Styela clava: one gene and its partner. The protein of the gene in region 1 interacts with the protein of each later gene in a biochemical or structural test. Links are inferred from orthologs where the notes say so. Each region holds a gene or a part of one and is shown on either strand. Other genes may lie near its edges. The genes, in order: E3 ubiquitin-protein ligase MARCHF6-like and ubiquitin-conjugating enzyme E2 J2-like.

The links.
Region 2: the proteins of E3 ubiquitin-protein ligase MARCHF6-like (region 1) and ubiquitin-conjugating enzyme E2 J2-like form a complex in vitro, tested with the Homo sapiens proteins (2 studies listed by BioGRID, with this or other methods). The link is inferred for Styela clava from reciprocal best matches to the Homo sapiens genes MARCHF6 and UBE2J2.

Annotation. Positions count from the first base shown.
Region 1 is NC_135262.1:12,198,407-12,214,790, reverse strand, and holds E3 ubiquitin-protein ligase MARCHF6-like, read right to left. Parts: upstream 8,310-16,384; 5' UTR 8,172-8,309; coding exon 5,439-8,171; 3' UTR 3,486-5,438; downstream 1-3,485. Other genes in the region: FSD1-like protein, read right to left, coding at 1,860-3,458; uncharacterized protein LOC120332569, read right to left, coding at 15,214-15,396. UniProt on the Homo sapiens protein: Endoplasmic reticulum membrane-associated E3 ubiquitin ligase that plays a critical role in mitigating endoplasmic reticulum stress, the regulation of cholesterol and lipid homeostasis, and ferroptosis.
Region 2 is NC_135261.1:15,002,468-15,019,865, reverse strand, and holds ubiquitin-conjugating enzyme E2 J2-like, read left to right. Parts: upstream 1-8,484; 5' UTR 8,485-8,510; coding exon 8,511-9,200; 3' UTR 9,201-10,918; downstream 10,919-17,398. Other genes in the region: uncharacterized protein LOC120329411, read left to right, coding at 6,012-7,964; ubiquitin-associated domain-containing protein 2-like, read left to right, coding at 10,994-11,015, 11,537-11,664, 11,755-11,874, 12,462-12,553, 12,770-12,938, 13,599-13,700, 14,080-14,202, 14,471-14,671. UniProt on the Homo sapiens protein: Catalyzes the covalent attachment of ubiquitin to other proteins. Seems to function in the selective degradation of misfolded membrane proteins from the endoplasmic reticulum (ERAD).

The DNA of each region.
Region 1 (16,384 bases):
ATAGATATTATTAAGTATATTAAGTAAAGCAAATAGATACATCCAAATATAATTTTAACCCATTAAATACTCCAGGCTCACTACATATACGACGAGTATACCCATATATACCATCACAGTGAACAACTAGCTAACAATATCATATAGCACATAGTATAACAAGGAATGTTTTCATTAAAAAAAACATCCCAGTCAAAAAAAAACTTTGGCCTGGCATCAATATATCATGTTTGAGCATACGGTATATAACAAAAAAATATTTCAAATGTTACAAGGTTCAGAACCCTTACTAAGTTGTTCTTTATCATATGCCTGAAAAAGACGTCAATGCTCGCTACATGATTCATGACTAAAATTACATTGCCCTGACTTATTGAGTAAAGATAACACTAGGAATGTTTTATACTAACATTGAACAATAGAGATTAAATACAAAGAAGTCACCAGGCAAAAGCTACAAAAAAATAAAAATATGAAATAAGTGAAAAGTTACACTGACAGGTTTTTCGAATTAAAAATTAAGGTATAACTAACATCTATTACATTATCATTATTTCACAAAACCACCTATTTTTAATTTTAGGCCAATTTGTGTCATGATCCATAGATTTATAACCACTATAGTGTGATAATAAGTGGTCATAGGAATGATATAAATAAATTTAAAAGCTAATTACTGATGTAGCTCATAAAAGCTTATTTGTGTATTCATTTATCATGGTGAATAATAAAATACAATCACAATTCACAACAGTTCAATTGCAACACAAGTTGATAAAAAATTGCACAAAACTGATGAATAATACACTTAATTGTGCAGAGAAGCATTTCGAACAATTTTATTTCGATTAGGTAATGCGAAAAATATAATATATGTTACTAAAAAGTTAAAGTTAATTACAATAATTCTCAGTGAAGTTTATTAGTACAGTATTACTTATTATATTATTGCTTGATCACAGCTTTATTTTTTATAAATAAATATATTTGCACTGACCTTTTGTTGATGAAATTGATAAAAACAGTGATAAATTTGTACCGAAATATTTGTGTATAAAATCCGAATAACTTAAACTTTCAAAAATGTGAATTAATGTCATTAAAAAAGTTTATTTTTCAATTCAGATGTTTGAATATTACGGTAACTCTCCCAAAAAAAATTTTTTTTTTGGAAATACAATTTTTTATATCAAATCTTATTGCAAGATACAACAATTTTTGCTTTACATTTACCAATTTAGAATATTTCAATTCAAAATTATTATTAAAATCTGAAAATACCAAGAAGTAAATGTTCAGATATGGAAGGAGATAACTATCATGAGCAACCTCTCTCTACTATAAGCAGCATGATTTAGAGTTGATCTGATAACATAGCAAATTTTATCAGTATTTCAATATGAGATAAATTTGAGAATAAAAAATGGAGCCACGAAAAATAAAAAATGAAGGAACTACGAGATAGCTTACTACAAAATAACACTTTTCACTAGTCTAATATGGAATTTCATAACAGATTTATTATTTACAACATAAAGGATAAAGTAACACTACATCTTGAAACTTGAGGGCACCAATAAAAACGAAATTCAAAAAAGTTTTATGCATTTGCACCATAATATTGAAAATAAAGCATTATTAATAATAAGTGGAGATGTACGGTAAATAATAAAATCATTTATCAGCTTCCCATTTTTATACTCAAGCTATATTTCTCTTCTACTCAGTCTTTTCACTATATTATATTATTATTTTGTCATATTTCCTAAATATAAACAACAACAAAATTCATGCAATATACGAATTATTAATCTTCATAAGTGAATTTTATGTGAGAAATAGGGGAAGAAAACACAAACTTATTTCAAAGATGACTTTTCCTCTGGACTTGCTGGATTCACAGGTGAATTTGATTTTGTCGAACTTGAATCAGATTTGATATTGAGAGAAGTTGAAGGTCGTGTGACAATCCACGATGGAACTTGAATCCCAGTAAATACCTCTAAAGATCCGAACCACATAAGAAATCCTGGAACAATCGGGCCATTGCATTTTACTTGCTTGAACGTATGAATGTGTCGACGTGTTTCGGCATTATAAAAAGACAATATTCCAGTAGAAAGATTGAAGTAGACTCCATATCTATTTGGTGTTTGACCTGATGAATCTAGATTTTTAACTTTATTGTTATGTTTCGCAACGAATGTATTCTGAATCCAGCTGCTGATATGTATACACCATGATGTTGCTGTTTTTCCCAGTTGATCAAATCTGGCAAGCGATTTCAAGGTTATTCCTACAGAATACGTTTTGCAGTCAGGATGAGGTGAAACCTCAAAATAAGCTTCTTCGTCACTAAATGCTGTGTCAGCAAGTACAGTGTAAGACTCTCCAGTGAAGCGATCTTTAGGTTTAGCTCTTCTAGGAGAAGATGAGGTTACACCTTTCGCCGGAGACGGCGAGCGAGTCATGCTAGCACTTTTTATTCTATTATCTTGAGAAACTTTATTTGACGAAGCGTCCCATTCCACAACATCATCTGAAATCACTTTAAGATTTGGATGGGAGGCGTCTGGATTGAGAGCAAAATGAAAAGCTGGAGTAGAGATTGACCCTACTTTACTCCATGTACCCCCCATTGCCTTATTCCAAGCCTGCACACGGAACTCAAGAAAAGGTTGATGAAATATTAACCCTTTTATATCACATTGCATTGAACGAACACATTCAATAGTGATCCATGGAATATTTTCTCCGCTAGTTCGAACCTGTCGATATTGTACGACGAAATAATTGATAGAAGAAGGCAGGTGAAGACGATCTGTTTGTTCGCTGCATAAACTTATCGGCATATCAGCAGATAAAAAATTGTCTTCTTCTTCCAAAATTGTCCATAGGCAATGAACGATATTGTTTTCCGCAAAACATCCGGCTTTAACAATTTCGGGTTGGCTTGGAATAGGTAGAAATTTCAGCTGATTCAAAACGTTTTGTTCCCTAGCGAAATCAGCATAAAAGAAGCATTCTGGTTCTGCATTATCATCAAACGGGCACAGCGAAAGCCGAAATATAGGAGACATTGTTACACGCTCTTTAATACGAAGAGCGGCTTGTGAGAATTGATCGGGTGCTGTCAAATCTAGGGCCTCATTGGACATTGCAATTAGATCTTCAGCATCATGTTTTGCTGATTCGAAAGTTTGTAAATGCTCTTGCAACGGTTTCATTTTCTCTGCTAATTCAGTTTCAATCTCAGACATCATTCGAGTTCGAGCTCTTTCGAGACTTTCTGCCAACATCTGGAATTGCTCGTCCAGTTCTAAAATCGAATCTTTGTAACAATTTTCGAGTGTGTCAATTTTTGAATGAAGTTCCCGTGCATATCTATCCACTTCTTCATATTTTGTTTGTACAGTTCCAGTAATTCTCACCAATGCTTCTTTTTGTTTATCCATCATATAAGTAATATTAATAATATGGTAGTATCTAAGTATGAGCAAAAGAAAATTCAAATATATATTATACACTGTACAGTATTACGACATTTTTATCAACAGCATCCTTTTACCAAAAGTGAAAATGTGAGAGAAATATCAAGCACAAATAATATTAAGCAATAAAGTTCATAAAATACAATTATTGAGATGTGATTATTTTACCTTCCATATTTTTTCTGCGCACGATTGCCTAGTGGTTAGAGTTAGAGACTTAACTGTGTCACGTTCACAGGTTACATATCTCTATCTTCAAATCCCATGTCCACCACCTCAAAAAAGTGCAAATAATAGGATAGGCAATATTGAAACGGGGAAATCGTATTCTTCAGAAACATCCTAATATGCCAACGATTATTCAAATATGTGCAAGATGGTCTTCCTTTAGGAATGATAAATACTTATTGTCATTCATTTCAAACACACTTTTTCAATACAGTTAATGCCAAACGAAGCAATGAACAATAAATCCCAGTCAAGAAATACAAATAAGCACAAACACATCTGATTATAGATACATAATAATAAGTTATTGACACTGCAAGCTTGTGAGGCTGGCCAAAAGCCATGTGAAATTTACTAATTTGAATAATCTTCTGAAAAAAAAAGATTTTCACATCTGAGAAGCATTCAAAATTTATACAAATCAGTGTGAATACTATGGGGACTGAATTTAAAGGCAGAAATGTAGAGCAAATAACAGATATTTTATCTGGTTTTCCTGTTGTACCAATGTTTGTTATAATCTGCCTAATCTCTTCAATAGTCCAATTCTTGCTTGTGGATGCGACAATAACATATTATTGATGAAAATATTGTAAAATAATTGATAATTTAGAGTACTATATTAGATATGGTACTATATTGAATTTCCCAGTACAACGAGAAAGCAGTTCACAAAATTGATGAGACAGATCAATCATCTATTGAAGAAAGATCAGGCTTATTTTAGACTACGAAGGCAGGTAATTAACATAAGAAAATATATAATTCTCTTTGAATGAAACAATGGAAATATCATGCAGTGTAATGCGGAGATGGCCGAACCCAAATAATCTACCACTGTAATTCAGATATTGAATATATTTTAAATTAGATAAGTATATTTAACAGAGAACATGTTGAAGTTGATTCATATTCAATGTGTTCAAATATGGAAAAACAAAAAAGTTTCAATTGATTTTCTATATCTTAAAAATTTTTATAACTTTAAAATAAGGCCTGTGAGACTTAAATTTCTCAATAGCTTTTTCGAAATTTACTATCCTTAATTAATTCTAAAACCAAGAACTTAAAATCCCAAATATAATTAATTTTGAATTGATTCGAAAATTTGATTTAATTTGAACAGTGAATATGTAACAAAATTTTGTTGGGAAAAAACTGCTATATGCCAAATTTATCCCTAAAAAAGTCAATTTAACAAAAACAATAGTAATTTTTATACTCAGTTCTAACGAAGTCTTAATTATTCATTAAGCAATTCAAATTCCATTTCAGCTGAATCATCTTGAACACTTCTTTACACAGAAGTTTATGTTACACTATCATTTGAGTTCCTTTTACAAACGTTTTCCAATTTTTTTTTACAAAAAATGAGGAAGTTTCTTTTATGGTTTTCATTAATAGACTAACTATCCATGGTTTCCAAGCACGATACTTCTAAAACTTGTTAGATTTACCAAACATAAGGCAGTTCATTCATTTCTATTAGAAAATTATTAATCTCCAGATAAGTGCAATACTATATGGAGGCAAAACAAAAACACAGAAGAATAACAGACAAAAAACACAGTTATACAATAAGCTGTAAAAATCATGAAATTATTGCAATAAAATGAAGCAGCAGAAAAAACTCACAACAATTGAGTTAAACTGGAAACCAGTTTCCAAAAAAAATTTTTTTTATTCAATAATAACAAATTGATATCAAATTAAAATTATTTAGGCTTTAGCAGGCTCGTAATTGAGTAATCTTTTCCCAACAAGATAACGTTCATTTTTGATATGATCGCACAATCGACGAAACTGCTTCGCTTCAAACATGAGAAAAGAAACTAGTGCAAAAAAGGAAATGAGACAAGGATATATACGACGTAATAAAATATTTGAAAAATCGTGTGGCAAACCTAAAACATATGTGGCCGAATGAGCAATCACATATGGCACAGTTAAAGATAATAAAAGACTACACATAATGGGATGAATAACATCAACGTACATATCACGAAGACTGAAATTTCTAGGTCCTTGATGAAAGACCCTCTCTATAGCAATTCTTATTTTCCATTGGGGGCCGAGCAAGGTTAAAGCAACTGCTAACTTAACTAAAAGAATTCCAAGCACCCAATCTTGCCAAAGAAAATTAAGAGGAGATTGGTGTAAAGGTACTCTCAATGGAATTACGATTACCAGCTCAAAAAGCAATCCGAACAATAGTGGAAATAATCCAAAAACAAAACCCCCAACAATCGCAATTTTAGAAATCATTTTAATCAATGTTTTACACTCTGACCAAATCGCTCTTGAACCCCGAGGAAACCATACCATTGATAAGTTTACCAAATGTCCCATCAGCCAGCATGTATATAACCCCAAAGCTGTAGGATATAAATCATGTATAAAATTAGCATTTTCAGTACCTAACCACAAACTAAATAAATATCGTCCAATTCCCACAGGTACGACCATTACTGTAAGGCTGATCAATGAAAGCGTTGCACACATTAAAAGTAGCAAAAGCACAATTCTAGTCACAAAATAATTTGGGCGAGTATAGGGTTGATGTATCTCGCCATCTAAAGCCATCTGTTGTGGTTCTGGGTGTAAATTTTGCTGCTGAAATGGCACAACTGGAACTTCTTCTTGATTTTCATCATTATTATTTACCGCCCGTTGAGGTTGAATTTGATTTTCATTTTGAGCTCTGGCATCGCCGTCAGTATCACCAAGAAGATATGACTTTACACCTAGTAAAGTACCAACAACTTTCGCCCAAATCTTTATTATTGATTTCAACCATTGCCTTGTCTGGCCTTGCTCTAGTAAAGCAGGTATGATAACTTGCAGTAGGATAAGTTCAAGAGATAAATCACTGATTGGAACATCTTTACGTAAATTAACATGATATGGTAGAAAGTTGGGTGAATAACGAAGTATCATTTGCACTGGCAAATAAATCATCATTAGAACTGCAGATCCAAATATAACGACTGAAAGTAAAAATCTTCGAATATGTCTGTACAATGGTAAGTGGATCATTTCTTGAATCGGGTTGAAATCCGGATCGTTTAAATTGCGTAGGAACCATAATGCGCCAGGACGCAAAACTTCTTTTAAAAGCAGCATGAATGAAGCTGTGTAAAATATATAAATCATTCCTAATAACCAATGGAAAAAAGTCGACGTTCCAGGTGAATTTATGTAATTAGTAACTCTTTCTTGAACAGTTGTATTAAAAAGCTGTAGTGAGCAAATGTCCAACCACCATCCACATACAAGTGGGAAAACACCCATTTCAAACATAACTAGCAGAGCTACTTTCAATACAATATACAAAATCCCAAGAACTCTTCCAGATCGTTGCATTTTCAACAAAAACATAGCAGCATGACACACAAAAAATGCCACGGTCAAAATAACGTATCCGAATAAAGTGGTGAGGAATCCTTCGAATCGTGAAGCAACGAGGTAAACATCAAGGTCAACCGCTGCAAGAACAAAATGTCCAAGATGATACGGACAAAATGCAAATACAAGAATGAAAAGAGTGTTGAGTGAAACAACCCAGAATACATGCTCGAGAAAAACTAGAGATCCATCGAGTCCCAACATTCTTTCCCACGTTAATTCTTCCGCAGCTCTATCCCATTCAAGTGCATTCCAATTGCCATCATCTCCTTCATTTTGTACATCCACTTCATTTTCCTCCAGATCTTCAACTTCAGCACCATCCAGCTGAATCTCTTCTGGTTCCGCATCTTCCTCCTCCTCATCTATGTCTTCAGAATCATCCGATTCATCCTCTTCTTGTTCAACAATATCTTCAGCATTCGGGACTCCATGTTCTATGTTATTGTTATCATCATTTATCGCAACTTCTGCATTCGGAGCTACAGCGACGTTATCAGGACCGTTTCTATTTAGCCAGCCTGGCATGCCACCATTCATGATTTGTTCGCGAAGCCACACTAATCCGATGAAAGAAGCCATCGTGCAAGCCACGACCAATGATCCACATAAAATATCCTGTCCTACATTTTCAGTAGAAAGCATATCCATTGGTAAGCTCAGTAAAGATCTTACCGATCCGGTAAAAAGACATTTATAAATTCGACAAGCGGTTAGGGGGACAATACCTAACCAAGCCACCGCTACCAAGGTATAATGCAACCATGATCTTACAGCCATGAATATGCTGCGGAATAACCCATACACGAGGTCAGTTACTGGCAGACGAGTGGGCATATCAGCACTATAAATTGGCTTGAACGAATACTTATGCTTGCACAATTCACAATATTCTTTTTTGCTGTGGCGAAGCCATTGTACCAAACAGTCCTGATGTACATATCGTATACTTCCAGTACAAATACATGGATGATAAAGTGGTTTGTCTTGGGAACCTTCAGATCTACATACACGACAAATATAATCGCTCTCTTCGACAGAGGCCATGGTTTTCTGATCTATCTGAGACTTGTTTTAAATAATTCCCAACATAGATATAGACTGGAATAGCAGCTATTTTATTGAAGATTCAGAAAGAACTATTTTGTCATTCTACAAAAATGAATCAGAATAATAAAATTAGAGGAAGGTTTTTTCAATTGCTCGCTAGTTATTGAATAAGTCGTGTATTATCTTTCGACACGTTGTCGTATATTATCATCGAAAATGATTACCGTACTCTTCCATTTTGGTGGGTGTTGTACTGTCACAATAACGTCATGAAAGTATCTCAGAAATGCGACCTCCCTATTTCTTGGGTAACAGTTTGCATAAAAATGCACGCAAGCACAATCCATTTTGTGTTTGTCAGCTTGTGATTGCTGCCCTGCCGCCTGTCCCAGTTCTGCCTAAAAAATCATTAATCTCAAAAAATCTCTAACTGAACAATTCGCAGATTAATATTTTTTATTGAAATTTGGTGAAAGGAATCAGTGTGATGTAAAACAAATTGTTAAGCTAGCTTACAGGTACCGGTACTGTAGTGTCGCCTACATACTGACATAGTCTACAACCTCCAAAGCTTTTTGCGAAGGAGCGATAGTCTGTTCGTAAGCCTTTCCACAAAACGCTAGAAGCAGAAGGCAAGGTTTATTAACCACAAGGTGTCGGTAAGGGAATGAAGAGAGAGAATTTATATTTTCGTCAAACCAGAAACATGATGATACAAATAATAATAATAATAAAACAACACATAAACAGTTTTCGGTAAATGACTGGATGATAGCGATACGGCTATATACGGTCATATTTGGTTAATTATTTTCAACTCCTGGCGTGGATTTCCAGTTTTATAAAATGGACAAATATTTACCAATCGAATGAAATATAATTGTCTATTTTCTAATATCGATTGATTGATTGATCACCACAAATATCATATTTCTATAATATACTGCGAGTGCCCATTTTGATTCAGATTTTTCTTATTCTAGTTCTATTACGAGTTCGGGGATTGTGTGTGCGTGTTAGCCAAGTGAATATATCCTGTGCCCATAGGTTTCTGTCCCTTTACACAACTTGGTGTAGAGTAGGCGAACAATATTAGTTGTCTTCATATTGGTACACACACTTATGGAGAGCTCTTTAGTTCTATTTATATGTACAGCTCGGGTACTACGGAACCAGGTCACGCAATGATATTGAGAAAATACGCAAATACAAAAAATAAGGCCAAATACAGGTGGGGAAGCGATTCCGATAAGCCATCTTGGCTAATATTTTGTGGGTGTTTTTGACTGATACGTTTGCCCAATGACATTAAACAACATTGTTTAATGTCATTGGTTGGCCGTAATATTAACCACGACTTTCGCAAATATATAAAACTGCCAAAATTAGCACCTTATGGTGGGCTGGGATATACTAGCGTTTGATACATGATGAGAAACGAATCAAGATCAGGAGAATATGCGAGAAAAATCAACGCAAATGATTGATTTCATGTCAAATCCAATCGGAAATCCATTACGCGCCTCGGAAAAGTTGAAAGTCTATCGTCGAAACGAGAGAGCTTTCAAATGGTCCCACGGAAACGAGAGAGACACCAGGGCAACATCAATCGAGGTAGCCATGGGGATGGATAGGTTTAGGTCAGGATGAAGTGAGTTACGAACTGTTTAAGGCGACAAAAAATTTCTGACAATAAATTGAAATGACTCAGGAAATAGGAAAATAATGTTTACCTAAGTATTGTCTTTTCTGCTTATTTCCCAATCAGGATGAAGTCAATAATGAGGTAACAATTGAAATTTGTGCCGATGATCAGACAGATATTCAATTCAATTAGTTTATTCAATGACATTAAACAACATGATAGGCAACTCTGACGTCACTCCATAAGACTACAGGCGAAACATTATATTTCATGATACGCTCCAATGCACATATTTCTCGTCGCCTTTCGCGTCCGTTTTCCGCTCGCTTTTGCTACTCGGCGTCTTTTTTACGTGTAGTACCTGCCTTTTTGCGCCTGTAACGAAACAAAATAATCTCTATATCTAAGAAGTTTTGCTTACTTGGAAAGCTGGAATAACAGGCAAGCTGTAAAGAGCAATTCTGGACATCATAGACGTTTTTTTTTTATCAGAGAAGATTACAAACGCGATAGCGGAAAGATTTGTGTGGAACATTTTGCCGATAATGACAAAGTTCAAAGTTAGTAATTTTAATGTTTGCGCTTAATCATTGAAATTTCATTTAAAGAGGGTGTCATACAAAACTGTGCTGCGATACAATTCCATAACACAAAGTTTGCACCTATCGAACTTGCTTTTGTAGGTGAATTTATTAGACATATTATATATTCAGTTAATCGTAGGTAACATTGCTGGTACATAATGCATCGTAGATAGGTTTGTTTAAATTTAGGAATTTAGCTCATAGCCCACTAATTAATATTATCTTCTATGCAGGAGGTTGCAGGGCTGAATTCAACTTGCAGCCTTACCGATCACCTGACGATGCTCATTTAGTTTGGCTCGAGCAAGTCTTCTTGAAATGCTTGTGTGGATGGAAACTACCTATATTTTTTGCCTTCCTCCGATTTTAGACAAATTTATTCTGCGGGATTTCGCATATAATTCTCACTGATTGTTGGCTGTTTATAATTCCTATTGATTGTGAATTCTGATTATAACAATGAATTGAAAATTTTTTTACCTAATTTACTGGCACCTTTTTCTTGTCAATACTCCAAGCTGAGGTAATAAACATGACAATACATTTATGTCATCTGGAAGCAAAATATGCACACTAATTAATAGTTTGGCACATTGAGATAATACATCATGACAGAAAATACAAGTTAAAGATATGTATGACCATCACATGGTAATTAAAATTAAAAAAATTAATAGGGGCTATGGAGTATGAAAAGTTCAAGACAAAGAAAAGAACAAATGTTCATAGCTCATGAACTCTCAATTTTGCCTCCATTGCTTTGTGAAGGCCAATATATTTCGAGTGGCTGAATTGGTTTACCTTTATGATAGCAACGATTTTGTATTTCATATAGCGAGATTATTTCAATTTAATTGAAGTGATATAATTTCCCAAAGCAATGCTTGAATCGTCTAGAATAGATCAGTGGTGTCAAACTCATGGGTTTTCGAGAGCCGCATTGCATTTTGAAAATTGTAAAAAGAGCCGCAAACAGTTTTTGATAATGTATACTTAAAAGATATTTTTAAGATAGTTTTAGTTTGTGACATATATTGTGATGCAACTAAACAGTTGGATTAAGTTTTATTATTTTCTTCAATTTCAAATGCAATTACATATTAATATTTGCATTCCACTATTATTGCAACATTTGCAAGTTACAGTATTTATTATAAAAAATCGTAAAATTCTATGTACAACCATCAAAATCATTTTTGAACAAGCTTTGAATAAAGAAAGAAGAATACATACACTAAAAATAACTTAATCTAAATATATGAACCTAAAATTAACAAAAATACTACAGTTTAAACTCAATGTTTTAATAATTACATTTGTCCTGGCGTTTGGCATCTTTTTTGTGCCACCAGCATACTAAGGCCAGTTCGAAATGATTTTATAGTACCAACTCTAACTAACGAGGCCACATGATCATGGGTTTATCTGGATCTTTACGAATGTTTAATTAATTCCAGTAATGCAAAAAAGTTACTTTTATCATTTCATGTATAGATCAGTAAAAAAACAAATGACAGATTTTTTCGACAAGACATTTGCACTACATTGCGTGGCATAGGATTGCTTGAATTATTATTGATATTGATTTTTAGTAACTAAGTCGTTGTATAATTATATTAATATACAAACACATGGAAATTTTCTGTTCGAAGTTGGTCTTCGAATTTGTCATATTGACTGCTGAGCTTATTGTGTTTTTTGATTGTATTGATGGGAATATGACAAATTAAACAATGTGCTTCAGAATTTTGTGAAGAGCAGAAATGTTACAACTCCCATTTTCTTCGAAAATGCCACTTTCTTCATGTACTTTGCGTTTAATTTAATTACTCAAGTGTTTTATTCAAGTATTCTTTTGCTAGCTTGATGTGTATTCTTAATTGGGTCAAAATGTGGACAAAACAAATTAATATTCCAAAACTACTTTCAGTAAATTGTTTTCTGTGTGAAAAATCAATTTCACTTTAGAAGGTTTGAAAAATCTATTACATTTAGATAAAAAAAAAACTTCCAAAATACTATTACAATTATTGTTAAGCGTTCGAGAGCCGCACTGGAAGTTCTCTGGGGCCGCGAGTTTGAGATCCCTGGTCTAGATTGAAGTTGTTCAAAAAATATATGATAGTATTTTATCATGAATGATGATTATACCCCTTCCGGAATTTCTTCTATAGTACTACCAAAAGTTGATGAACCAAATATAACACAGGTGCAGTGAGGTACCCGTAATCCTCATTTCCAAAGCTGTTTTAAGTATGTCTGGCGTGTTTTGTGCCTTTTTACAAATAAGACCGCTTATGCAATCTTACGCTTTGGAATTTTTAGTTATTTCCCTCAAGCCCTGCAGGATGCGGGGGCCATAAACAACTCTACCGGAGGGTCAAATGTCTTTGCATGCCTCCATAGGTTGTTTTTCTATTGCAAACATTATATTTCTTGGAATCACACTGTCACTGATATGTCGCCAGACTTCTGATATCTCCCCGTCTGCTATAGTTGTCCTGTGAATAAATAATAGGAAATTGAGATTAGACGAATAGTTGAAAGTTTTGCTTTATGTCGGCTTAATTTCTTGATTGATATACTTACTATTTCTGCTATTGTCTCTTGTACTGCAAGAGTCTCACAATGCTTAGACAGGTTTGTCCACAACTTTCACATCTGAAGAAAGAGAGGAGATTTATTAATTTTCGTTAAGAATAAATAAAGCAGTCTATATGATTTAGAATGGAAAAGCTAATAAATCCAATATCTCATGTTTTAAGTAAAAAATATTTTACTGAATTTGGTATATAAACCAACTAATAAAAAGGGTTTAGTCAGAAATTTACAAGCATTCGTGGCTCCAAATACTTGAGAAATCAGACTATACAATATAGACCGGTATGAGTGAAATGTTAGGTGAACTTGTTAACACTTTGATACAATACGCAAATAAAAGTGAATGCGCAATAGTATGTTACAATGAGCAGCAATCAACAATGAGTATATATCCTCACTGATTAAAAAAATCTAACTGGAGGTGCATGAACTATTTGAAACCATAAGGGGTAAGTAAATATGTAATTTCGGCAAATGGGCAACTACGTACCGTACTGAATTAATAACTTCGTAGTATTTGACAAAGGCTGGCTTTCCCACATGTACCTAACAGTGCGATGCCCGGGTGTGATATACAACAATAGTATTCACCTTACCTTTTACCGATTTTATTTTACCCCAACTTTCAAAAATATCATTAAAATCGACAACAACTGTCAAAGCAGGCACGAACACCATTCGTGCTACGCCTCGAAAGCAGCACACGTCCGCTCGTTTTCGTCTCGTCAAGTATGTGCATTGGAGCGTGCTATTGAATACGATCTTCGGACAAAAATGTCGGAGTTGCGCATCATGTTGTTTAATGTCATTGGTTTATTACACCAGATAATATAAAAACATAAACAAATCAATGAACACAGGTAAAAACGAAACTAGCACAGTAAATATATGTTTGAATACCGCAATATCAGCCAAACAACATATATTATGAATTAAAATTACAAAGGCAATATTGCCAAAATAACAGCCACCATGTTTTCCCTAAAATGATACCTAACCTTAATTTAAAAACAATATTTTGATATAAGCCCTTTTCCTAAATAGGACCTAGTCGATAACGTGATATTTTTTTCAAAGAAACCACACTTTTCCCGCCTGTGTATAAATCATTGTTTGAATAATCCTCGTTTGTTTGAACTTGCGCTAATTTGTTTATTTATATATATTATCTTATTATCATCCTTTTAGATTAGAGTTGACGCCATGATTATTTTTTCATATTTTTCCTATTTTCTTTTTTTTGCTCTATATATATCCACTTGTGTCCTTTCCATATTATGGCCTGATGAAGTTTTTCTGTATAGAAATTTGAAACGTCGGCAAATTACATCGTTTTGCTAACACCGGTTGTGCTCCATTTATTATCAACATGAGTTTACCTGGTGGCAATCATGCACCACTGTCGACTTTTATGTTTCTGACGCTTGTGAGATTCAACGTAGCCCTTCTGGGACGAATCGAAACCGGCAAAGCGAAAAGTTTGATCATTTGGCGTCAAGGCGTCGGTCGCTCAGACAAATAATAGACTATCGCACTTATCAAACCACAATATGACGGCTAAGAGAAATTGCTTAATAAACCAACGCAACATCGTCTTTTCGGTCCCGGCAAAGCGATTGAGACGTCAGAAAAGTTGTTTTTCAGGGGTCAAAGTTCTGGAAAACATCCGTATTTAATAGCTCTCCAGCTCAGGGTTGTCATATTGGCTTTTTATTGCCCAATTGAACGTTTTGGCTTTTTTCTAGCACGTTTGACTTTTCAAGTCCAGTGTAGGCTATATTATTAAAATTATATGAAATGCGATATTTAGCGTGCGACTATTGCCTAGCTACTTAACAATTGGATTTCCCCGAGCTTCGATTTCCTCATTTATTACTTTAACACTTAACCGTAACCAATTAGAAATAAGTCAGCAATGATGTAACACTTGGAAGTTCAAGTAGAACCATGTAGGTATATCACATACAGACATACTAAATCGGCACCATGTATTGTATATATACCAACAATGGTCATTTTATCATGTGTCTAATTGCTCACACAAAAGCTCAATATAAAGATGTAGAACGTGCACTTGTTGGAGCAGACAATTACCGTCTGGCAACGGAGTTCAGTCATTTTTATTGCTCCTAATAAATATATTGAAAAATCAAGAGAAGAAAGGTTAATAAACGTAGGCTACTAAAAAGATATTTGACATTCACTCCAATTAATCAACGCAAATCGTTGATGTCATCGAATGAACTGTTGAAACGATCGGGTCGACTTCATCCGGTGGCAAAAGTCCGAATCGAAGAAACGACCTCGATCCAAAAAAATCCCGAACACGGGCTCTGAAGTTCGGTGAATGGCGGTGCCAACCTTCCAGATGATTGTTGGTTCTTATTTCTACTAGAGATGTACCGATACCACTTTTGTCGCCGATACCGATACCGATCCGATACCAGTCAAAAACGCCGATACCGATACGCCGATACTACAAAAAGTCCGATATTACCGATATTCCGATACCGATACTATGTAATTAATACTTGATTAGGTGTGCTGTGTAAGACAGACGGGTTAAAACAATGGTCTTAGAGCGTTGTTCATAGTTCACATTATTTCAGATCGAATAAAAAGATGTATCACATAATATGAAATTAATGTTCGGTATCCATATGCTTTAGTATTCTTGGTGTTCAATTAGAAAACTCACAAGCCGGGATATCCAATTTGAATTTAATGTCAATATCGCGACCTTAGAATATCGTTATTCGTGTTTAAAAAAATATCGAATATCACCCACCGCCGCCGCCTACGTTCAAATTAAAAGCATTTTACAAATATTTTATTTCGTGGCTAATCGTAATCGTCGACGCCATAAGTCAAAGCCAACATGAAAGAATATCAATCAGCCCCGACCAAAAAAGGCCTACCTATAACCGTCAAGGATGTTTATTTGCTTCACTATTTTATAATATTTTACAATTGCTATCATATATTTTGAGACAGTCTAGCTGGGGCTAGCTAGGCGGTCATGTCAATATATCTATGAAGAAATTGTGTAGTTAAACAAAATTAAAATTAATACCTGCGTAGAGGGATAATTGTGTCGGAATTTAGTTTATCGATGTCGACGCACTAAATGACACTCGTACTTGACGACAAACAGTCAGAATTTATACCCGTGCCGAAAGTCCATGTGCCGTTAATAAGGACCCCAATTCCACTGTATGCTTAAAACTGAGCGCCTAATTGTGTTGATATATTTCTTCATAATTACTATGTAATATTAAAAATGTCAATATAAAAATTTGACAGCGAAAATAGTCACATTAGTTGAGCTAGTTTGGCTGATAAATAGCTAAAAACACGTGAATCCTATTCTCTCGCGGGGT
Region 2 (17,398 bases), on another chromosome or scaffold:
CAGTAACGGAATGCACATGATTACAAAATTTTGTTCCCAACAACTCAACTTGTGGGATGAAGAGTATATATACTAAAATAATTATCAAGAATAAAATCTCGCCCCTCTTAATCGGAAAGACTTGCTGTTGTACTTTGAAAAATGTGAAATTTTACGTTATTTCGCCTATGCAAATTTCGACGAAATAGGGCATTTTCAGTAACGGAATGCACATAATTGCAAAATTTTGTTCCCAACAACTCAACTTGTGGGATGAAGAGTGTATATTTTATTATATTTTTCAATAATAAAATCTCGCCCCTCTTTATCGGAAAGACTTGCTGTTGTAATTTGAAGAACGTGAAATTTTACGTTATTTCGCCTATGCAAATTTCGACGGAATAGGGCATGTTCAGTAACGGAATGCACATAATTGCAAAATTTTGTTCCCAACAACTCAACTTGTGAGATAAAGAGTGTATACCTTATTATATTTTTCAATAATAAAATCTCGCCCCTCTTAATCGGAAAGACTTGCTGTTGTAATTTGAAAAATGTGAAATTTTACGTTATTTCGCCTATGAAAATTTCGACGGAATAGGGCATTTTCAGTAACGGAATGCACATGATTACAAGATTTTGTTCTCAACAACTCAACTTGTGGGATGAAGAGTGTATATCTTAATACATTTTTCAATAATAAAATCTCGCCCCTCTTAATCGGAAAGACTTGCTGTTGTACTTTGAAAAATGTGAAATTTTACGTTATTTCGCCTATGCAAATTTCGACGGAATAGGGCATTTTCAGTAACAGAATGCACATAATTGCAAAATTTTGTTCCCAACAACTCAACTTGTGGGATGAAGAGTGTATATCTTATTATATTTTTCAATAATAAAATTTCGCCCCTCTTAATCGGAAAGACTTGCTGTTGTACTTCGAAAAATGTGAAATTTTACGTTATTTCGCCTATGCAAATTTCGACGGAATAGGGCATTTTCAGTAACGGAATGCACATGATTACAAATTTTTGTTCCCAACAACTCAACTTGTGGGATGAAGAGTATATATACTAAAATAATTATCAATAATAAAATCTCGCCCCTCTTAATCGGAAAGACTTGCTGTTGTACTTTGAAAAATGTGAAATTTTACGTTATTTCGCCTATGCAAATTTCGACGAAATAGGGCATTTTCAGTAACGGAATGCACATAATTGCAAAATTTTGTTCCCAACAACTCAACTTGTGGGATGAAGAGTGTATATTTTATTATATTTTTCAATAATAAAATCTCGCCCCTCTTTATCGGAAAGACTTGCTGTTGTAATTTGAAGAACGTGAAATTTTACGTTATTTCGCCTATGCAAATTTCGACGGAATAGGGCATGTTCAGTAACGGAATGCACATAATTGCAAAATTTTGTTCCCAACAACTCAACTTGTGAGATAAAGAGTGTATACCTTATTATATTTTTCAATAATAAAATCTCGCCCCTCTTAATCGGAAAGACTTGCTGTTGTAATTTGAAAAATGTGAAATTTTACGTTATTTCGCCTATGAAAATTTCGACGGAATAGGGCATTTTCAGTAACGGAATGCACATGATTACAAGATTTTGTTCTCAACAACTCAACTTGTGGGATGAAGAGTGTATATCTTAATATATTTTTCAATAATAAAATCTCGCCCCTCTTAATCGGAAAGACTTGCTGTTGTACTTTGAAAAATGTGAAATTTTACGTTATTTCGCCTATGCAAATTTCGACGGAATAGGGCATTTTCAGTAACAGAATGCACATAATTGCAAAATTTTGTTCCCAACAACTCAACTTGTGGGATGAAGAGTGTATATCTTATTATATTTTTCAATAATAAAATTTCGCCCCTCTTAATCGGAAAGACTTGCTGTTGTACTTCGAAAAATGTGAAATTTTACGTTATTTCGCCTATGCAAATTTCGACGGAATAGGGCATTTTCAGTAACGGAATGCACATGATTACAAATTTTTGTTCCCAACAACTCAACTTGTGGGATGAAGAGTATATATACTAAAATAATTATCAATAATAAAATCTCGCCCCTCTTAATCGGAAAGACTTGCTGTTGTAATTTGAAAAATGTGAAATTTTACGTTATTTCGCCTATGCAAATTTCGACGGAATAGGGCATTTTCAGTAACGGAATGCACATGATTACAAAATTTTGTTCCCAACAACTCAACTTGTGGGATGAAGAGTATATATACTAAAATATTTATCAATAATAAAATCTCGCCCCTCTTAATCGGAAAGACATGCTGTTGTAATTTGAAAAATGTGAAATTTTACGTTATTTCGCCTATGCAAATTTCGACGGAATAGGGCATTTTCAGTAACGGAATGCACATGATTACAAAATTTTGTTCCCAACAACTCAACTTGTGGGATGAAGAGTATATATACTAAAATAATTATCAAGAATAAAATCTCGCCCCTCTTAATCGGAAAGACATGCTGTTGTAATTTGAAAAATGTGAAATTTTACGTTATTTCGCCTATGCAAATTTCGACGGAATAGGGCATTTTCAGTAACGGAATGCACATGATTACAAGATTTTGTTCCCAACAACTCAACTTGTGGGATGAAGAGTGTATATCTTAATATATTTTTCAATAATAAAATCTCGCCCCTCTTAATCGGAAAGACTTGCTGTTGTACTTTGAAAAATGTGAAATTTTACGTTATTTCGCCTATGCAAATTTCGACGGAATAGGGCATTTTCAGTAACAGAATGCACATAATTGCAAAATTTTGTTCCCAACAACTCAACTTGTGGGATGAAGAGTGTATATCTTATTATATTTTTCAATAATAAAATCTCGCCCCTCTTAATCGGAAAGACTTGCTGTTGTAATTTGAAAAATGTGAAATTTTACGTTATTTCGCCTATGCAAATTTCGACGGAATAGGGCATTTTCAGTAACGGAATGCACATGATTACAAAATTTTGTTCCCAACAACTCAACTTGTGGGATGAAGAGTATATATACTAAAATAATTATCAATAATAAAATCTCGCCCCTCTTAATCGGAAAGACTTGCTGTTGTAATTTGAAAAATGTGAAATTTTACGCTATTTCGCCTATGCAAATTTCGACGGAATAGGGCATTTTCAGTAACGGAATGCACATAATTGCAAAATTTTGTTCCCAACAACTCAACTTGTGAGATAAAGAGTGTATACCTTATTATATTTTTCAATAATAAAATCTCGCCCCTCTTAATCGGAAAGACTTGCTGTTGTAATTTGAAAAATGTGAAATTTTACGTTATTTCGCCTATGCAAATTTCGACGAAATAGGGCATTTTCAGTACCGGAATGCACATAATTGCAAAATTTTGTTCCCAACAACTCAACTTGTGGGATGAAGAGTGTATATCTTATTATATTTTTCAATAATAAAATCTTGCCCCTCTTAATCGGAAAGACTTGCTGTTGTAATTTGAAAAATGTGAAATTTTACGTTATTTCGCCTATGAAAATTTCGACGAAATAGGGCATTTTCAGTACCGGAATGCACATAATTGCAAAATTTGGTTCCTAACAACTCAACTTGTGGGATGAAGAGTGTATATCTTAATATATTTTTCAATAATAAAAGCTCGCCCCTTTTAATCGGAAAGACTTGCTGTTGTACTATGAAAAATGTGAAATTTCACGTTTATTCCCTTATGTCGATTTTGACGAATTAGTTTTCAGTAACTCTGGCTGGCGAGATGCAGACTGAATATAATAAAATTATTATTAATAATGAAATTCCCAGTTTTTGCTTACAACAACTCTCAAATACCCATGTAATGTTGTTGTTAATTCCATTTGCGTATTTGTTTGGTGTAGCGAATTTGGCTCCGCCCATAATTCTGCCTCCATATTTGAACTTTTCGCCTGGTCGCATACAAAGGTCACCGTGCTACTAGCTTCACAGTGGTGTACGGTACCTACGAAACTACACGAGGCCCGAGACCCGTTTAAAGCAATGTCTTACGGTATTGAACCTTCACAATGAAGTATAATAAGTATATTTCGACTCCATAATCAGCAAAAGACGATAAAAAAATAGATAAAAACAAAAGTAACTGATTATAGAATCGGGAAAGCGAACAAAACCTAGAGTAAGGTTTGAAACGTACCGGTACAGATTTTAGATGGAAAGGTATTGATAAAAGAAGTAGTACGTGTTCGCTCACCCAAGACGAAATTATTGGAAAAGTTGTATTTCCCATTCCCCCTGATTCAGTGATTCGAACAGATTACAAGATATTTAGTCGACTAAGGAGTACAATATTTATCATCTTAAGTTTGAAATCTCTTTTTCTGCCAACTTATCAAATAAGTTTTCAACTATTGCTAATAATATTTTGAATAGAATCATTTTATATGACATAACGTCATGGTCATCTTGGGGGCAGGAGGCTTTCATTTTTAAAAGAACTGAAAAAGTAAATTATATTATTATTCTGTCTTAGATGTGAATCAAAGGTACCGTAAAAGCGCCTAACTTCGGACAAAATTACTATATTTTCGTCTATAACTCGGCCATTTATTGTCCAAACGGTGCCAAAATTGCTCGGTAAAACATTCGTGCGGTAATTTACATTCCCTGCAAATTTCGGTTCAATTGGACTATTTTTACTATTGAAATAATCGATATTTCTTGCCATCTGACCGTTATCCTTCACTGCCCTAACTTCGGACAGTCATTTTCTTCACTGCGTAACCGCGACGCACAGAGAGAAAGAGGCTTCCGATGCGGATGACGTAATCACGTCGTTGCGTGAAGATAAGACGCTCGATCGTCGTCGTAACGTAACATTGACGTCACGACGAAAATGCATTATTTGAAACTTCCGTCGTCCTATGTTTACATCTTTCGTTCGTTATTTTCAATACTTCAGATGAGTATAATAACACGTTAGTCATTTTAATCAGGAAATGCATACGTAAATATATCTGATGCAAACCGTTTCAATCCACAATGAAGTATTTTAACGGGCTTCTATCGAAGTCTTTGAAGTATTAATATTCTCGGCGGATAGCTTTTTTTTATTCTGTGCAGTTATCTTTATAAATGATAATTTATATCAAACACACGGTAAATCCGATTGTAAAGTTTAATTTAAAATTCAACTTAATCTTGTAAACATGTAGGTCCCGTTTATTTGTTGGAGATTAAATTTATTTTTAATTTCGAGTGAATAAAATCCACCCAGGCCGTATTCAATAACTGTCATTTCGACTACTAATCATAAAATAATGGTTAAGTCAGTGCACTGTGCCATATGGACGTTGGAATTATCATAGTTTTATATATTCGATTTTTAACGTCATCGATTAAGTGTGACATGTATTTTCATTAATGTAATTTTGGCATATATTCATACATGACCGAACAAAATACAAAAATATTACATTGGAACGCCGTCTTTATCTTAACGGAAATTGTCATATTGGCTCCGTTGTGTCTGGCGTCAAAATTCATTTCCGCGACGCAGTGTGACGTCGTGTCGGAAGTGAGCGAAAAATAATCTACGTGAGGTTGACGTATTTTTGACGCTGCGTGAAATCTTAATATTCTTACGAAATTTATAATTCAGAATTTTAGGTTTTATTTAAATCTCGTACGACATCTTGCGATCACTCAAATAAATTATATACATTGTTGTCGCCCTCTACCGAATGATGGTATTTTGACGATGATAGCTTCAGTAGGAGCGACGCTCTGCGCCGTTGAATGCCGGGCAGTCAATTTTCGGCAAAATTTCTGTTTTTTTACCAAAAAAATAATTATGCAACATTAAAAAAGATGAGAATAGATGTAGATATAACAGCGCATCCTATAATAATTAAAATTAGCAATATACGGCGCGTTTTAGCCAAGATATGGCCGTTCAAAAATTTTGTCCGAAGTTAGGAACTGTCCGAAGTTAGGCGCTTTTACGGTACGGTAAATGAAAACCATATAAAAATTTGTAACACATTATAAAATTATGTCATTTCAATGTAATTGTGACAAAGCAGTTGCTCTGAGCACACTTCGATCTGAAATATTGGATTTAAGAAAGGAGAATGCAATTTTGAAACAAAAACTAAGTTTGTTTGAATGTAATATGCCAGAAACTATTTATCATCCCGAATTTGTTGACGCAAGCTGTCAAACTGAATGTGATTATGAGGAACTCAAAAATCACTTGTACGAAAATACATCCAATGTTGCAGAGACACTCACAGCTGAAAGCATTGCCCAAACTGCTCGTTCATATATGAACACGGCTGGGTGGGTTTATGATGAACAAAGGGGTATCTACTTTGATTACAACACTAGTCTATATTACTATCCCAACACAAAGCTATATTACAATTATAAAAATGGGTGCTATTATAAATATAATCAGGACTCACAAGAATACGAGTTTCAGCATCAACTTATGAGCTTCAATGACACGTCAAATACGAATATTGATAGAGATGATATTATTGGAAAGCAAATAGGTGATAAAATTTTTTTTTCGTCTCTGAAAAAAGCGGTATTTAAATATGGAAAATCTCAGAAGAGTCATCTCAAAGCAATCCAGGTGAACGAACTTTGCTCCCACTTTACGAATAGCCAATCTGAAGTTGAAGGGATGGCAGAAAACAATAAAAATTGTATATCAATATGCAAAACTGAAATCGGGCGATCACCATATCATGATTACAGTTTGTCTGATTCAGAGATTGAATGCATTAAATCAACAAGGAAAAATTATCTTGTATGTAGGAAATGTTCTAACATAACGGAAACCTGTTGTTGCCAGAATGAAAAATGCTTAAATATGAATATCAATGGCAAATCAGTATGTAACAGAATGACAAGAAAAGATGAAAAAATATCAGAATTAGACAGTTGCTCTGATACTGAACTAGAGACATTGTCAACACATCCTTTTAAATTTTTGAAATGTCCAAAATGTTTGTCTTTTGTTAATTCTGTTTGTTGTGAAGGTATAACAGAGTCGAGAAAACGACGGAAAGCTTCGGATTTAGCTGAAGATTCAAATAAACGCCATTGCTTAGAAAACTTTAAGTTAGTGTGTGATGATTCTTCCAAATTTTCAAAAGAAAAAGTCATTTATTCAATGGATTGTTTGGATGAAAATGATACAGACTTGGATTTAGAAACTAATGTGATTCCATGCATTCGAGCTATGGTCACTTCATCTAAAAGTCTAACATCTGGTACGTTATTTTTAATTACTCGTTATGGTGCAATTTTTGGTTCAAGTGAAAACTGTGAAATTCAAATACAAGAAGCTGATGTAAGTCCAAAACATGCAGCAGTGTTTTATAACCAACAACAAAGAAATTACTTTGTCACTGATTATGGGAGTGAGAATGGAACAACTCTAAATTCTATCACCGAACATAATCCTGGTATAACAACTGTGCTAGCCAGCCCTATTACACATAAAAGTGTGCTAATAATAGGAAACACTGTGTTTGTGTTACATCTGCATATTGGTTATGATACATGCGATGACTGTGAACCTGGTCAAATCCAAGCCATGATTGATACAAATAAGACCAATAATTCAGTTGAAATTTTGACAAAAAATGAAAAGGAAAAACAAAGGCGATCTGAGTTGAAGAATATTAGGAGAAAATATAATTTACATAATGATAAATATAAGCAATCGGAATTCGGTATTGAACCGCAGTATGTGGATAGAGCTTCTGAAAGAAGGCGATTGTTAGGCAGTGATAATCCATATGAAAAAGATGAGATGCCAACTTCAATGCAAACAGAGTTGGCCGATCACAACAAAGGCCACCAAATGCTAAAGAAAATGGGTTGGAATAAGGGACAGAGTCTAGGAAAATATCAAACAGGGATTACAGAACCTATTGCACCTGAAGGAAGTGGAAAAGGGAAATTCGGACTTGGTTACGGGAAAAATAGATAACGTTTGCTATAATTTACCTTTGCTATTGATGTTCTTGTATTGAACTATCTGGTGTCATAAATGCAAATTGTACAAACATTTTTCACGATACTCATTTTAATATTTTTCAAACATGAATTGGTGTCAAACACAGTTGTATAAACACATTGTATGGATAACAAATTTGAAAACATAATTCAAGACCTAAGTGGTCTGTCTAATTAATCTTGCTACCCAACTTCTGCCTCAACATCGTCTATGACAGAACACAGAACCATTCTTGAACTTATTTTTTGATGCAAAATTGTGTACGTACGTACCACTTGAAAATATGCTTCTGCTGTATAAAAAACAAATTCTGGAGTTATTAATGAAGAGAAATTTGTCACTATCACACCTTGTCCGTACTTTGTTACCCACAAAAACTATTCGCCAGAGTGCATGGATGCTGAAAATACCACGGTAAATCCTTTACTGAATTTAATTATTTGTTTGTGCAATATTTTCTTTTGTTTTTACAGGAGTTACGGTATCTTATAATAAGTTATATTTAGTGACAGAAACAATATGTCTCGTAAAAGCTCATCTGTGCAGCGTGCACCAACGACGGCTACACAAAGACTTAAACAGGACTATCTTAGGTTAAAGAAAGATCCAATTCCATATGTCACTGCAGAACCCCTGCCATCTAATATTCTTGAATGGCATTACTTGGTGTTAGGACCCAATGACACACCCTATTTTGGTGGTATATATCATGGAAAATTAGTCTTTCCGAGGGAATTCCCATTCCGCCCACCTTCTATATACATGATCACCCCATCAGGAAGATTCAAATGCAACACAAGATTGTGCTTATCGATAAGTGATTTTCATCCAGATACTTGGAATCCTGCCTGGTCTGTAGGAACTATTTTAACTGGGTTGTTAAGTTTCATGGTCGAAGATTCTGCCACATTAGGTTCTATTGAAACATCACACTATACAAAACGTCAACTCGCACTTCAGAGTGGACCATTCAACTTGAAAGATTCAGTTTTCTGTGAACTATTTCCAGGAGTTGCCAAGGAAATTAGAGCAAGTATGAATGCTCAAACAACATCTCAGACAACAAATGCTAATGTAAAAAATGAACAACAATCAAACGCTGCAAATGAAAGGGAGAGAGACAACCAATCTAATCTTGTAAATTTAGTTATTGTTGCCGGAGTTGCTCTATTTGCTCTTGCAGTTAATAGCGTTATTCAAAGTTTATGAATATTATATTTGTGAAAAGTTTATATCGCAAATTTAACTTGATAGAAACGATATAGATCTTACGAAGTATCGTACTTATTACAGCCGTAAGCCCGTAATAAGCCAACTCGTGCTAAAAAAAATTTTGCTTAGATGGCCTAAATCACTGCACCTCTGTGCTTGTTTATGTGAATTAATTTGCAATGCTCATTTACTTGTCAAAGGATACTTCTGTAATGCCTGCTTACATTATTGCTGAATATTAGATGTATATTAATTACGCTCCATCGATAAGGTACAATGTGAAACTGGAATACAGATAACAAATAATTACTATGGTATGATGAATCGTTAATATCGTTTTTAATTTATATGGTATTCTGAAATTTTGAACCTTAAAATAGTCAACCCAATACTTATATTGTCAACACCAATTGGATAGGACTCCTCTGTTTCATATGACTAACACTATTTGGAGGAAACTTAGAAATGTCACTCAATAAATTCCATCAGGAATACAAAAAATCATCAATGTTGCATATTGGAATTGTTTATCTTTGAAGGAGTAATTTCAAATCATTTATTGTTCAATTGTAAGTTTATTTTTTCGATGTCCTGATGAAATCATGGCAATTTGTATAATTCGGTCATTATTCAACTGAGTATTCAACACTCATATTTTTTGCTTTGCGACAATATTTATCGAGTGTATTGTATTTTTCATTGGCAATCCATAAAAGGAGTATAAATATTATGTTGTGGAAAGTTGAGATTATAACCCTGTTACTTGAGATAACATGTAGGTATTTTAATGGCCATACCCATGGGTTAATTCATTACATACGACAACAAGGCTCACAATTATTAGTCAGCATTGGTGATATTCTAGTCAATTCAGAAAAAATTAAGGATTCGATATATTTAATAATGAATCATATGTATTTCACTGGTCAACTTTATCTAACTTCCGTTTACCGTTTGACAATGTCGTTAAATTATTTAGATTACTTAACATACATTGAATTTCCATACATGCTAACTTTTTTGTACACCTGAATCGAGTGTTTTTTCTATTGACTTCTATGTTATGTTTTAAATAAATTAGCAGTTCTAGGAGTGTGTAAGAGTAGCATATGTAATGTAATAGTAACAGTCTGTTTTGCTCCACTGTGAATCAGTTTGCTATGTTGTATATAGAATATACGTGTAAATATCGTTTTACTTTGTTGAAATGAGTTCCAATTGGGCACCGTGAGTGAATACATTATATAGAGGAAATATTTTTTTGATTGGAAAATATTTTTGTCGTCACCTTAATGGCAATGTTGGTTATGCCTCTTATGTGTATTTATTTCTACATATTTTGATGTTTTTGATTTTCAATTCGGACAATGTATCTGAAAACCGAACTAAAAATTGCTTTGGGATTTTGGGATGTGGTACTTTTGTAGGTATACTTTTGAATCTGAAAGGGAGGGAACGTTTTTTGCCAGTTTATTATAAGAGTTTGTTTCTGTGTTTGTGAAGTGCAAAAAACAAAAAGGGAAAATTTTGTTGAATTTTCAATCTAGTGACCATTGATTGCAGGTTTTGTGATTTTCTTGTATGTCCACACCACATGATTTGTCTTGTATGTCCACATTTGTTTTTTTCAAACCTTCAAATTCTGTGCGAATCTTTTATTTCATTATCTTATATTTTGCGTTTGTATCATATTATGTCATTATGTAAAACATTAGTCTTCAAATTTTGTCATCTATTCAAATCCATGGACTGAGCTCTTCAACTTGAATATTAACATCCAAAGATTCACTATGAATGAGAATCTTGGATTCTGTGAGTATGACATTGTTACCTTTTGACTAGTACACATATCGCTATTTCAAAATAAAATATTTTCTCGATACAATGAATTATCCTAATGATGCATATTTCATATTTAGTACATGGCATGGAGGAGCTGATTTAAATTAAATTGCAATGGCTCCAACCCCAGCTCAAGCTTTATTCTTTACCTTGGAGCTAGGCTCAGGCTCTGCAGTCATTGAGGTTTTTAACATCACCACTAACATAAGCCCAAATGCAGTTTCGAAAGGTTTACTCAAAACTATGATATACGACTTACCGTACATATTTTTTCACTAAACTTTAAAATTCATCTGGAAATTTTCAAATTAATATTAGAAATTAACGGTGATTTGTTCGAAATATTAAAAAAATTATTAATGGTAAAAAATTAAATAGAATTAAAATCGCAACTTCCGATGAAGCGAGTAATATCAAAAGCAATCTCTATTTATTAAATACATGAATTTTTCAGCCTCATCATTATTAACAATAATCTTTTGTTTTTACAGATAAACGCACAATATCGAAATGTCTTCTCGTGATGTATTTTACAACATATGTTGCTGTCAACACATTACTTCATGAATATAAAAATTTCTTTGTTTACGATATATCAAAGATTTTAAATAAATTTGAGGTATGCATGAATGTGATGATTATAAATAAAGCGCCCTCTTTGTATCTAACATACCTTTTGTATTAATGTGTTCACAAATTTTTTTTTTAGCTTTGGAGGCTTCTGACAGGAAAATTTATATTTTTAACTCCTCATGAGTTCTTTTTTGGAAGTATTTTATTGTACGGGTTTTCAGATTTTGAAAGAAGATTCGGTTCATATAAGTTCATGGTAGGTGAATTTTTTTGTACTATTTTTAGCGAAATATCTCTACAGAGGAAAAAGTTGAGTGCCTTTGAACTGAATAAAGGCATTAAAGAAGTAGCTAATAGTATGTAAGGAATTAACTAATCTTAAAAAGTCATTACCTAATGACTTTTTAGTATTCCCTCCCATGAATGGGAGTTGAATCTGAAATTTTTAACTTGTGATGTTACGAAGTCCCAAGGCTCTCGCCACTCAGGGCAGGGATAGGATTTACATATTTATCCTTGAGGGAGAGGGAAGCCGATAAGACGACTTAATCATATGGCAAACCACAGCTTTTCGTCCGGTTACCAGTTCATGTTGGGTATGGAATTAGTTGGCCAGTTATTTGTTGGAAGCATGAACTTGATGGTGGAGAAAGTTGTAGCTGACCAGCGGTTATGTGAACCACCCTACAGCGTCGATGAGTCCAGCAATCTTCTCGCACATAACTAACCCCGCATGGGATTCGCACCTGCAAACCAATGCAGTGTAATCAGAGGTGCGGTGGTGAGCGTATTCCTAACATGTTGCACCATTTTTTAGCTTATACTGGATTTTTCTTTTTTCAGTCTTTCATTCTATGCAATTGGCTGTTGACATCATTACTTGAAGTTGCATTTACCACTTATTTCAAAGAGATCAAGATATTGCCATCAGGAATGCAAGTTTGTTATCTGTATACTTATTATTTATACAGTTCAATGTCGTAGTTAAATAAGCATTTGACAGCTAGGCGTCTCTATTACTGACTGATATTCAAGATAAGTTGAAGAGTTTGTGTAGGAGAATAAAACCCAGTATGGTTATTTGAAATTATGTCCGGTTGTATTTGTAAAGATGACTAAATTCGTGAACCTATTCTTTGATCATGTTTTAGGTACTGGCTCATCTATGCTCTCTTGGTGTTTTATTATCATGATATACCTGGAATTGAACAGGCTCGATTTGGCCCAATTAGGATTACTCAAAAAATACTTCATTATGGTCTGGTGGTCCAGATTATTGCTACTGATGAAACAAGATATCCTGTTTGTGGACTCGGTTTGGTAAGTATATAGTGAACTGTAATGGGTTAATGCATAATACTGTACGAATCAACCAAATGTATGATATAAATAGAGTGATTATTACTCTTGCAGATGAAATTGTTTCCGAGTGGGGTGGGATAAAATAAATTTTGTATATTTTCACTGGAGTCTGAACCTGAATTGTATTTTTAAACTCCTTGATGTCGTGTCGAGAGTTTAGGTAAAATTCTGAATTATCTGGAGACTGAGCCAGATTGCAGGCTTATAATGTCCAAACTTCCTACTAAAACTAATAGTTTAACTAAGCGCTCTTACCAGACAATTAAAAAAGGCTTGCATATGCTGAAGTTTTTGTTATCAAAATTTGATTTTCTCTAAGAGTTTTTTACAACCTGGAGTAGATTGTAAATTTTCTCCTGCTTCACAGCCCTGGAGGGAAGGTGCAGGACCATTTCTATCCTATTTGTTGCTATGTAAATTCGTCTTCAACCAAATTTCCTTTCAAGCACAGCTTGTTTATGAACCATGCCTTGTTTTGCTGTTGATTATCAGATCTAACCTTGACTTGCACTGCTGTTTGCGTGCTTCCAAAATCCTTAATTAAATAATTTTTTATTTTGTCATAAATTTATAAAAAAGTATATAAATGTATATAGTGAAAGTTTGTTTTACATTCAGATTTCTGGACTCATTTACTATTATAATATTTTGTATGTTGGAAGTTTTTTATCATTACCAGATACATTTCGAAAAACCACAGAAAACTATTTAGAAATGTTGGTAAGTAGAATCAGGGTTTATTAAAATCTAGATGCACATAGCCCAAGATTGTATCAAATCTATCTACCTTGTAGACAAGCACCTTGATCCACCATATATATTATAATGATCTGTAAAATTTGTTCAATCATATTAGTTTTTGCCGGAGAGTCTGTAGATAGAAATGTTTGGTATGACACATAACTGGCTTATAGAATGACTACGCTATCCTAGGTTGAAAATATTTTAATTCCGATTCTGTCTCTAAGACAGCGAGATTTTTTTGACCAAATTTCCACTTTTTAGAGTTATGAAATACAGCCTCCTAATCCGCAGAGCTCGAACTTTTCAATCCGCTGAATATATGATCCTGTTGTTAAATATCTTTCCCATATTTTAGTTGGGTTCTACAAAGCCAACATACGGATTAATTGGTGCGACTTTGTCTGTACAAAGACAAATGCGACTTGATGAAATTGAACGTACAATTATACAAAATCGAATGCAAGCAAGACATCGCCAAGTATGTATTTCTGCTGATAACAAACTAAACCTGACGTAGATCTGTTAATGTTGATCGTGTCTATAAATTGTTGCTGAAGCAAAAACTTCAGTTTTCCCTTTAATTGCTGAACTAACATGGAATAAAATTGTGGCCCAACACTAACCTGGTAGCTGGTACACATTACGTTCCAGTGTCTGCATCTTGGTTCACATACTATGGGAGTACTGGTACCGTTTTTTACGGTATATATATTTGTGTGTTATAAATATCTGAATATAATTGTCAGGTGGGAACAAATATTCCTGCTTTGTTCCGTCGAATTGGTATTGCAAATCAACCAAATCACAATGTTCAACCCCAAGCAGTACTTAGCGAAGAATCTATTGGGCAACTTATCGACATGGGATTTCATAGAGAAGAGGCTGTAAATGCGTTGAGAATGTCGGGCAATGATGTGGGTAATGCGGCAGCCATGTTGTTACGATAATGTTGGGTAGAATTTGGCCAATTTGCATTGTTTGTGTTGTCAAATTCATTGTGAGTTTGCCTGGTGACACAGCCATTGATTCATATATTTTGGTGTCAATGTGGGCTGTAGCTTTGTTTAGTTATAAAGAACCAATCGCTTTTTCATGAATAATTGGATATTCTTTATATGAATCATGTTATGAAGGACTTGGTGTTATATTTTACTTCAAACACGCCGTTTACTTTGATGTTAAATGAAATCCCGATGTGGTATTATTCTTATTTGTCGAAATAGCATATTAATGTATTTTTAGTTCGTTTCTCTCATATTGTCATTTGTTTATTAAAAATTAAATATTTATTTTATGCTGACAGCATTGTGTTTTTCTTTTTTGAATATAAGTCGTTGCAAAATGTCATTTTCGGTTCTGAGGAATTATCTGGAGTTCATTTTATCGTACTTTGGGGGGTCTGGGTATCTCTAATACTATTGCGACATGCTAGAATGTGTTTTATATACTATGGTGTTCTGATGATAATGAGTTTTTCCACATTTTGCTCCAAGTTGGCTATAAATCACATCGACCTAGTCTACAAACATTTGACGCTCTAGGTGCCTCGAAATTTTTTACAAGATAAGATACGGTATTTGCTTTCATACAGCAACTGGCAAATTTACCGGTATCTATGTTTCCGTTTCGCAACTTGTAAGAAAAGCAAAACGAGGTGTAAAGATGTGAAAACTAGAAAGCAATGCTCAAACACATCCCCCCAAAGTAGTACGGGCACCGCCGTACCTGTACCGATCCAATCGTTTACAGTAGACAACTGACGTGGGGGAGATGAGTTTTCCTTACCCCAGTTATATTAAACATGCTTTAACGGAGTATAACCCCAATCTGAAATCCTTTCAGAGGTTGCTAAGATTATGTTTTGCAAATCCTAAATAAAACATGAGGCGACCAAAACGTCGCTTTGCAGTTTGAATATATATGTGCTGATGTCTGGATCATGAAGAATTTAAGAACATTTTCTCTTCGGATCTTCTGTACAAAACCCCTGCTACTAATGCAATGCAAAAATGTGAGATTCGGTAAAACAAAAACGCCACGTCCTAAAATAAAGAATTAAAAACTATCCTTAGGGTTCGCGTTAGAAATGATTTAAAAAATTGACTTTCCAGCGCAATCTGCATTCCTAACCCTCACCCAAATCCTAATTAGCTGATTACTATTTTTCTTATTTTGAGAGTTGGCGAAGGCTTCGTATAAAAGATTCTCCTCTTCTGACAATATTCTTTTTCGCTTTAGAGACATGGAGCAATGTTTTCATCAATGTTCAACAACTTTCATACGGTTTATGGTACCGGTAGTCATTTTCCATTCGCAATTAAAAGTAAGAAGAGTTGGTAGCATAAAAGTCATATTAGAGAGGCAAAATACACTCGATGCATGTCATTATCAGCGAAAATCAGTACCCTTGAAGCTGTCTTGTTAGATATCAACAAGATTTTGCCATATGCCCAGTCTATTGCCAAGCTCAACACGGGCGACAAAAATGCTGACAACTAGGCTACAATAGATCCGTACAATATATATACTACAAATCCGGCTTGTTCCGATATTCAGTATTCATCTACTGATTGCGCTGCGCAATATGCTCATTTAAAAGTGATATCATGTAGCCTACACTATGAATAAAATGAATTTTGTTTTCGGAGCTTCGAGATGAAAATGTTATCTTAACTCAATGTGCATATACAGCAACTTATTAAGTGATGTATAGATAAGAATCAATGTCATATGCATATACAGCCAACTCAATACACCTATGCAGCCATGCAAATAATGTACACACACAGCCAATACCTTATATATATATATACCGCCAACACTATAGATATACAGCCGTTCGAATAATGCACATACAAAAATCTATGACGCCGTGTGTATATACAAACAACTAATTATACTGTCATTTAGTTATACAGTCATTTAACTGATGTACATACAAAATTATATTACATATGCGTATACAGCCAACTAAATATACATATACAGCTAATCAGGTGATAGCAGTGGCGTATCTAGGGTGTGGCAGCCATGACTCGTACTATGGGCGGCGTTTGAACAGGGGCGTAAAAACAGCAAAAAGTAATAATTATAAAAAGTTTCCATAAAATAATTTGAAATTGGGAATGACTGAAACTCGTATTTTCACTCACATAATAACGTGCAAGTACTTCAATTCAATAATAGTCATTATAAATTGTCAAACAACTATCAAGGGGGACATTTTTAGACTTTGCCATGGCCGCCATTTTACGTAGATACACCACTGGGTGATACACATGCAATATTCAATGTCCTATGCATATAGAGTCTATAAACAACTCAATATACCAGACTGGATTCCATGGCAGGTGCACGCCCGAGGGCGCTAGCGCTCCGCAAAAATGCACGCGAGCGAAATCAATTTTGCACGCCGAAAATTTGCAATTGCTCACCAATGTAAATCGGTTTAAATGGTTTTAAAATCAATAATCCAGTAATATAAAGATGCCAAAATATTATAACTCCACAATTGTCGACAAATACCAGCCTGCAAGATTTGGTCTGATCGAAATATTGCGAAGCAAAAAGACCATGGACCTTTCCCCAACCTTTGACCCGCGAAAAATTCCTCTCATTGTTACGTCTTTTTTGCATCTTGCTGATTGGCCAATGTCACGAAGTAAACAAGGAAG